Arabidopsis thaliana: one gene and its partner. The protein of the gene in region 1 interacts with the protein of each later gene in a pairwise test. Each region holds a gene or a part of one and is shown in the gene's direction. Other genes may lie near its edges.

The links.
Region 2: the proteins of TH9 (region 1) and SAMDC interact in a two-hybrid assay, tested with the Arabidopsis thaliana proteins (one large-scale study listed by BioGRID).

Annotation. Positions count from the first base shown.
Region 1 is NC_003074.8:2,643,414-2,647,346, forward strand, and holds TH9 (thioredoxin H-type 9), read left to right. Parts: upstream 1-1,664; 5' UTR 1,665-1,996; exon of another isoform or gene 1,997-2,113; 5' UTR 2,114-2,176; coding exon 2,177-2,197; intron 2,198-2,308; coding exon 2,309-2,428; intron 2,429-2,521; coding exon 2,522-2,644; intron 2,645-2,732; coding exon 2,733-2,891; 3' UTR 2,892-3,191; downstream 3,192-3,933. Other genes in the region: UBC12 (ubiquitin-conjugating enzyme 12), read left to right, coding at 69-138, 548-678, 770-874, 989-1,132. UniProt on the Arabidopsis thaliana protein: Probable thiol-disulfide oxidoreductase that may play a role in intercellular communication due to its ability to move from cell to cell.
Region 2 is NC_003074.8:506,782-512,159, forward strand, and holds SAMDC (S-adenosylmethionine decarboxylase), read left to right. Parts: upstream 1-2,104; 5' UTR 2,105-2,221; intron 2,222-2,314; exon of another isoform or gene 2,315-2,369; 5' UTR 2,370-2,420; exon of another isoform or gene 2,421-2,523; 5' UTR 2,524-2,618; intron 2,619-3,015; 5' UTR 3,016-3,171; intron 3,172-3,266; 5' UTR 3,267-3,441; coding exon 3,442-4,542; 3' UTR 4,543-4,681; downstream 4,682-5,378. Other genes in the region: AT3G02460 (Ypt/Rab-GAP domain of gyp1p superfamily protein), read left to right, coding at 1-6, 90-206, 489-686, 776-835, 909-1,007, 1,243-1,311. UniProt on the Arabidopsis thaliana protein: Essential for biosynthesis of the polyamines spermidine and spermine. Essential for polyamine homeostasis, and normal plant embryogenesis, growth and development.

The DNA of each region.
Region 1 (3,933 bases):
CTTAGTTGAATTCCTTAATACTCATTGTGTGTTGCTTATCTCGTCCGCAGGTTTTCGAGTCTAAAAGCATGGCTTCTAAGAGGATTTCAAGGGAACTGAGGGATATGCAGAGACATCCTCCAGCAAACTGTAGCGCAGGTAATCTCCCTTTTCTTGGCTGATTTTGACTGATAGATTCACACTAAAAACACTTTTAGGGTTTGATATATGTCACACTTTTATTTCATCAATCCACATTATATGTTTCTGAGTTTTTTTTGGTAACGCTATGATTTGTTAGACTCTCTTTGGTTCTGTTATATATATGTACTCTGCATGAACCTTTTTTTTTTTTTTTTTTGTATTCGAGAAAACTCGTTAAACCTTTGCCTGGTACGATTAAGAATATCCAGAGGTTTAGCTTGCTTTTATTTCAAGTGTCTCCTTTTGTACTTCTTATTTATTCTGCCAATTTGTCTCTGTTCTATAAGAAGTATCACTTGATCATGCAGGTTTTATTGTCTTTTTCGATGAATAAATGGGTCTGATTGCAACGTCTTTCTTATAGGTCCTGTGGCTGAGGAGGACATATTCCATTGGCAAGCAACTATCATGGGACCGCATGACAGTCCGTATTCCGGAGGCGTATTTACGGTTTCTATTGATTTCTCTTCGGATTATCCTTTCAAGCCACCAAAGGTGTTGTGTTTTTTCAACACTAATTTAATCATCTGATGTGTAATGAAAATCTATGATCATCAGGCTTATTAGCGAGTGTACGATTTTGCAGGTGAATTTCAAGACTAAGGTGTACCACCCAAACATCGACAGCAAAGGAAGCATTTGCCTTGACATATTGAAAGAGCAATGGAGTCCTGCTCCTACCACATCCAAGGTTTGAGTTTTGTCTCTCTACTACTATTTTTTACCAAAGTCATGTTCTGTAAAAAAAAAACTAGTATATTGGTGAACTTTGTGCGAGTGATATTGATGGTGTGGAATTATATAGGTTTTGTTGTCGATTTGCTCGCTGCTGACTGACCCGAACCCAAATGATCCTCTTGTGCCGGAGATAGCTCATCTCTACAAGGTAGATAAATCAAAATACGAGTCAACTGCACAAAAATGGACACAGAAGTACGCGATGGGATGATAAGACAAAGGTGGTCTAGACAAGGAAAGGATGTCTTACTTGGCAATGGAAATAGAAAACTGAAGAAAAAACATTTACCTTTTCTGTTTTTTGGTTAGTTTTAGCAATGGCTGCTATGATGTGACGATCATAATCGAAAGACTTTTTTAGCTGCTCTTTTTTACTTGTCTTCAGTGCTCTGATCATATTCTTATTTTTCCAATTCCATTTTAATTGGAAACTGCTATTGCAACAACCTCGTAAATTTTTTTCTTTTTTAAACTATAGAATCGTTTTAAGTCTTTACCTAAATCAATAATCTTTAATCCTCTTTAGTATTTTTTTTTTGAGCATCAACTAAACACTATGGCAAAGTCTTCAACCGTATATAATAAAGTCAATTCTTTAATAAACAATGGTACTGCAGAATTTGAGTTGCCGACAGAAAAAAAAAAGTACCGCAAATCTAAAGAATCTGTTGAAAGTACGGTTAATAATAAACAAAACAGATTTTTTATTATTTACACGAATTGATAGCTAATAAAGAGTGAGAAAAAAAACAAAAAAAAAGTGGAATGGACAGAGAGGAGGAGGGTAGAGTGGTAAATTTAGTAAGAAGGGGAAATTGGGTCTGACGCGGTCATAATGGGAGGGAGCTTCTTCTCCAATCAACGATTCTTCTAATTTGGTCTCTTCCCTCAAACACGACGACGGCGTTTTCTTTCATTTCTTCTCTCGACAATCCCTAACATCACCAGAAGAACACAAACACAATTCTTTTTAGGTACAACACAAATTCTCTTCTTCCTTCTTCGCTCTAAAATTTTCAACACATATTTTTTATGATGCTTTTAAGCGTCTGATCGTATCCGATCTCTCTTAAAGGTCCGTTTTTGCCTTTTCAGATTCTCTTAATCCGTTTCTTCTTCTCAATTTTCGTTTGTTCGTTATTAATCCTTTTCGCAATTCGATTAGCTGAAAGTTTCCCCCTTTTTTCTCCAGGGAATTGCAAAAAAAAAATCGATTTTCTATTTTCAGGCAAATTCGAATTTCCAGGACATTCAAATGGGTAGCTGCGTCTCTAAGGTATTGAAAGAAACGAAACCCTTTTGTTTGGTTTTTGGTTTTTGTCGGATTCTGTATTTGTTGGTTATGCGATGATAATGTAAAAAAATCCCTTCTTGTTTTGCTACATAGGGTAAAGGAGACGATGATTCCGTCCATAACGTCGAGTTTTCCGGTGGCAATGTTCATCTGATTACAACAAAAGAGAGTTGGGATGACAAATTAGCTGAAGCTGATCGTGATGGCAAAATCGTAATTTTTCCCTTTTTGATATTTCTCTTCTCTCATGTAGTGTTGTGTTTGTTTCTCAATCTCATGCTAATATCTTCTCTTCTCTTGAAACAGGTGGTTGCAAACTTCAGTGCGACATGGTGTGGTCCGTGTAAAATTGTGGCACCATTTTTCATCGAGCTCTCAGAGAAACATTCTTCTCTTATGTTCCTTCTTGTAGATGTTGATGAACTCAGCGTAAGTAACTCATACTCTGTATACCCATACATAGTTTCCCTTGTCTCTCTTTCAAAATCTTAAAATATGTTTGTGTGACTTTGTGCAGGATTTTAGCTCATCATGGGACATTAAGGCGACACCAACCTTCTTCTTCCTAAAGAATGGACAACAAATAGGCAAGCTTGTTGGAGCAAACAAACCGGAGCTACAGAAGAAGGTTACTTCTATCATTGATTCTGTGCCTGAAAGTCCTCAACGGCCTTGACTCTTGACTCTCGCAGCCTTGTGTTCTGAGGTCTGTTCTTGTGTCTTCTTCTTGACGGTGATCAATTGTTGTAATATGCAAAAAAAAAGGTGTGAAAGGTCACCAAAAACACTTGAGTTAGATCATCCTGTTTGATATAATAATATGCATCTTTTTCATTCAAATTACTCATTATATTATTGAATCCTCGCAATCTAAGTGTGCAAAGCAATAAGGCTCTCTCTAATTTCATTTCTTCTTTATTATCATTCTTTCACTAATGAGGAAACAATCATCCAATGCCTTTGTTTCTTGATGACATTTTGAATTTCGTTGCCACCATTGATTTCTCCTTTGTATACTTTCACAAATCTCTCAAGCAGAGATCGGGGTGAGGAGCCTGAAGTGGCCTTATGGCTAGGGATAGGGCTTGGACCGTTCCTAAACCAGATAGAACCTTAACATTACCATGACTTGATGCTAAAATATAGACCAAAAGTAAAACATACATTTGCCATCGTTAAGTTAGTCTTCTTGTTATAGTTAGTTTTTTATTATTCTGTAATTAGTCTGAGTGGATGCTAAAATATTACAAATAATTCTTCTTCAAAACAAAACCGCGAGTGAGTGTATCGATCCTAACATCTAGAGAGAGCTTTCGGCAATGGATAAGCTGCCAAGAAGAAATGATATTTAGGTAAGTTTGGCGTTTATTCAAGTCTTCACAATTAAAGATTCAGAAGAACCACTTTGACTTTGACTATGACTTGAACTTTACTCAGAGTGAAACTCGAATAATAAAACGAATGGGTCAACGGTCAATATTAGCTGCTCTGGTTCAATAATTTACAATTTGTTCTCAATCAAAACAATTCCTTCACAATATAAGGTTTTAAAAATTCGATTATATTTTATTATATAAAATAAGGTTTTAAAAATTATTAGCTCACAAAATTATAACACGTGGTAAATCTTAAGATAAGATATTTATATGTAAGAATTTAACTTTTAGTATGTAGTAAGAAATTCTTTATGATGCTTTCCCTTTTATTTTGTGTGTTGA
Region 2 (5,378 bases), 2.1 Mb from region 1:
GTTCAGGTCTATCCTCTAGATATTTCCCTTGTTTCCCATTTTTCTTTCTTTTAGTATGGGACTAAGATTCATGATTCTAATATCTGCAGGGGATGGGGTTTATAGCCGGTTTGTTGCTTCTCTATATGAGCGAAGAAGATGCCTTCTGGTTATTAGTTGCATTACTTAAAGGAGCTGTTCATGCTCCAATGGAAGGACTGTATCATGTGAGTCTTTTAATTATTAGAAGATTGCAAGAAAATGTTGTATAGTTGAATGAAACAAAAAGAGTATTTTCTGCGTGAGTTAGAGTTTGTGACCACGTTTTAAAAAAGTTCTCTGTAGATTAAGTTTATAACGATTCTGGTGAGAGTTTTTCGTCATTGATTATGAATCAACTATCCAATTTAAAAGGCTACTGTATAGTTCGTTCCTTGATTTAACAAGGTAATGTCTTTGCCGCACATTTCATCTATTTCTTAAGAGTCAGTGGTTTGTGTGTAATGTAGGCAGGGCTTCCCCTTGTACAGCAATACCTGTTTCAGTTAGAAAGCTTGGTAAAAGAGCTAATTCCGAAGCTCGGAGAACATTTTACTCAAGAAATGATTAATCCGAGTATGTATGCAAGTCAATGGTTCATCACCGTCTTCTCATACTCATTTCCTTTCCCTTTGGCTCTACGGATATGGGATGTGTTTCTCTCCGAGGTAACTAAATGCGCATCCTTAAAATCTCTTTAACGTTTGTTGTGATCAAAGTTTCATTCTGTTATCTTCTATGGTCATTGTTTCTTAAGGGTGTTAAAATCGTGTTCAAAGTGGGCTTAGCATTGCTCAAGTATTGCCAAGATGAGTTGGTGAGTGAGGTTTATTTACGAGCTGTAAGTTAATTTCGCAAAACCAACCTTTTTAAAAAAATTAACTCTGCAGGTAAAGTTACCGTTTGAGAAACTAATACATGCTCTGAAAACTTTCCCGGAAGACGCAATGAATCCGGATACCTTGCTTCCATTGGCTTACTCTATCAAGGTTCTCTTTCGTTTTCGAAAAGTTAATGTTCTGGTAAAATTTCCATGATAACTCGGGAGAGATATGAAAGAATCAGATTCTCGATATCGACATGATTAACTTGATAGATAATTTAATCTTACTTGTAGTGATTAATTGAGGGCATTGATGTTGTTAAATCTGATGGTATACTTGAAAAACGCTCTCAGCTTTCTTGAATAATCAACAACTGTGTTTTTTTGTTTGTTCATGGCAGGTATCAAAGCGTTTGGAAGAACTGACACTGGAGTATCAGAAGACTAATGCCAAACCGGTTCAACCGTAGGAAATCCGGTTGGCAATAACCTGAACCAGAAGTTGGATTCGAATTCGTTTTCTCATCTTATCTTTTCTTGTTGGAATATATTCTTTTTTCATCATATTGTCAAGTTGGGTGGGAATTTCTTATCAGAAGCTCTCTGATTGTTTTTAGCAATTTCGTGGAAAAGAAGAAGGCATGCTCCAGCTGATGTATAGATAGAGAGAGAGACCAGTGTTCCTAGAGAGATATCACTAATGTGAAAAGTAAATCATATTGTTTAAAGGTATTTTTATTCTTTAAGGTTCATGGTACCAAACTAGTCCAAAATCTCAGAATTTTAAATACGACTTATGGTTGAACAAAAAAGATTTGGAATAAATAATTACACACTGGTCAATAGTGATTGGTTATAATTTTGATACATTTTATTTGTTGATTTTTGACAAATGGTGGACATGAGTCATGAGTGAGTCACGGGGAGGCCCAATTTTGTCATGTAGTGGAGCAGTTGAGAGCCTTTGAGAAATAGAATTTGATTCTTTTAGGCCCCACGGCTACGCTACCGTGACAGCTCGCCTCGAGTTATCCGCTTCAACGGCACACGTATCTTCTAAACACGTGTCAATCTTTGATTGGTTAATATAGCGTGTTGGCCCATCTCTGTTTTATATTTTGTTGTTCCGCAAAAGATAATGTCAAAAAATAATAAAGAAACAAATCTCTAAAATTAAAATAATTTCTACTTGCGGCGAAAGGAAAAAGCAAATTTGTTAAAATAGTTGGGGCTATTTATCTGCGGTCAGGAATGGAGATGCTCGCACCTACCGATTCCAACGTAAGTAAATGGTTGAAGGGTAATTTGGGTAAAAACCTCGGAACGGCAAATTGGAAATAATCAACGGCTCAGATAGCTTCACGCGATATAAACGCTAAGGTATAAGGTCAAATACGTAATTGTCAGGGAGCATAACCCTAGTACTTATATAAAGGCACTCTTTCTACCTTTCTTTTCCTCCTCACGAACGCATCTCATTGCTTCATCATTACCAAATCATCAACTTAATCGTTTCTCTCAAATTTAGGGTTTTCTCTTTTCTCGAAAGTCTTGCGGTTTTCTGAATCATCTCTATCTGGTGAGTCTCTTTTTTGAATTGTAGATCTGCGTTTTCTCTCTGTAGATCTGTTCCGTCGTTGAGGATAATGTTTTTTAATCGGTGAATTCTGGGTTTTTTTCAGGTTTGAGGGTTTCGTTTGATATCTGGAGAAAGGGGTTTCTGGAAACAAGGAGTTCATAATTCGCGATCTTGATCTATCGATCTTCATTTATATATGTAAGTATCTCTCACGATTGACGTCGTTCTTCGATTGATTCATTAGCCTAGCTAGGTTAGATAGACATCGTTCTTATCGTCCTAGGTTTTGGTATAAGAGATTGATATTCGCATGCATGGTTAGGTTGACTTATACCTGAAACCAACGACTTGGTTTCGATTTTTGTTTTGTTACATGTATGATTGCCTATTGTCTTAGGCTTTGTTTTTAGTTATGGATCTGCTATAATAATTGGTTTCTACTCATCATTCGAGATATACAATTGAAAATTGAATGGTTCTTATGGTTTATAGATTCGTATTGTCCTGATAAACATTGTTGTGTGATCTTTTGAATACCTGGTATTTTTATTTTTCATCTGATCTTTTTCCTTTGGATTTGTTTTGTCTAATACAGAAAAGCGTGAATGAGATTATGATGGAGTCGAAAGGTGGTAAAAAGAAGTCCAGCAGTAGTAGTTCCTTATTTTACGAAGCTCCCCTCGGTTACAGCATTGAAGACGTTCGTCCAAACGGTGGAATCAAGAAATTCAAATCTTCTGTCTACTCAAACGTGAGTTTCCTCTATAATGCTATATCTGATTTCTTCAATCTCTATGGTATCCATTATGTAGTCTCTTCTTAACTATGTTTTGCTTTTTGTTGCAGTGCTCCAAGAGGCCATCCTGAGTACCAGCGTGCACCGATCTTCATAATATAGTTATAGCTTTCTTTACTTTCCAGTTTATAATTTTCTTCTTTCAAAGCTCCTTTTCTGCTGGTTCCCGGATCCAATCGTTCTCTCCTCCTACTACAAGTCCTGTCGCTCACACAACAAGGCGAGATGGCCTTATCTGCAATCGGTTTCGAAGGTTACGAGAAACGGCTCGAGGTGACTTTCTTTGAGCCAAGCATCTTTCAAGACTCCAAGGGACTGGGACTCCGTGCTCTGACCAAGTCCCAGCTTGATGAAATTCTTACACCTGCTGCATGCACGATCGTTTCATCTCTCTCCAACGATCAATTGGACTCTTACGTACTCTCTGAGTCCAGCTTCTTTGTCTACCCCTACAAAGTCATCATCAAGACTTGCGGTACCACTAAGCTCCTCCTCTCTATCCCACCACTTCTAAAGCTGGCTGGTGAGCTCTCTCTGAGTGTCAAGTCTGTGAAGTACACTCGCGGCTCCTTCCTCTGCCCCGGAGGCCAGCCTTTTCCTCACCGCAGCTTCTCTGAAGAAGTCTCTGTTCTTGATGGGCACTTTACTCAGCTGGGCTTGAACAGCGTAGCCTACTTGATGGGCAATGATGATGAGACTAAGAAATGGCATGTCTATGCTGCCTCTGCCCAGGACTCCAGCAACTGCAACAACAATGTCTACACTCTCGAGATGTGCATGACTGGTCTGGACAGAGAGAAAGCTGCTGTCTTCTACAAGGATGAAGCTGACAAGACTGGGTCAATGACTGATAACTCTGGAATCAGAAAGATCCTTCCCAAGTCTGAGATCTGCGACTTTGAATTCGAGCCCTGCGGCTACTCTATGAACTCAATTGAAGGGGATGCAATCTCCACGATCCATGTGACCCCTGAAGATGGGTTTAGCTACGCTAGCTTCGAAGCTGTGGGTTACGACTTCAACACCCTTGACCTTAGCCAGCTGGTGACAAGGGTTCTCTCTTGCTTCGAGCCCAAGCAATTCTCTGTAGCTGTGCACTCGAGCGTTGGAGCGAACTCATACAAGCCAGAGATTACTGTAGACTTGGAAGACTATGGGTGCAGAGAGAGGACATTTGAGTCTCTAGGAGAAGAGAGTGGAACAGTGATGTATCAGACGTTTGAGAAGCTTGGTAAGTACTGTGGATCGCCTAGATCTACCTTGAAGTGTGAATGGAGCAGCAACAATAGCTGCAGCAGCGAGGACGAGAAGGACGAGGGAATCTAGCAGAATTTTTCTTCCTAATAACTATTTTCGAGCTTTCTGTTTTTGTTCTTTCTTTTTAAAAAACTTATTAAGTTCTTATGAATAATGACTTGTGAAGTTTGAGTTCGTCTCCTTCACAAGCAAGTTGTATTGGTGTTTTCTACTTTATGAATATGGGTTTTATATACCTAAAGACTTGTTATGTTATTATTCTTAAATGTTGCTGCTATGATGATTACTATTATCGATTTTTACTATTATATTTGTTTTTTTTAACGATTCGTTGAAAAATAAACGAGATTGACACTAATGTAGCAAAATGTGCAATATTATCTTCAAAACATTACAAAATTCAGTTGTCTTAATCTTTTTATTTCCGATGACAAATTATGGTTACGTAAATAGTACTATATTAAAAAAAAAAGAAAAAAAAAGACGAAAATAAAACAAAAAGGGAGAATTTGAGTATTAAACCAAAAAAAAAGGGAGAAGTGGACTTTTGATCAAAAGAAGAGAACAACTTGCATGAGTAAATTAGTTTTAGAGCTGACTATTTAAAATTTTAAGAACTAAAAAGAAAGTGGTAGTATAATTTAACAAAAGGATGATGACTCATATGAATAATAGTAGGCAAAAAAAACTTCAAAACCACAATTTCTTGTTTTCACTTAGAACCTTATTCTGCCATAATTACGTTTAGTTAAATTAAGAAAAAATTGCTTAAAACGACAGTACAAGAAGAAGGAAACATTTTCTTTCACTCAAAATCCTATTATCGCGCAACAGAGGAGTCTAAGTGAAATAATACCGTGTCGTTTGCGGATCAGAAATCGAGAGAACCACGTATGTGTCTTTTA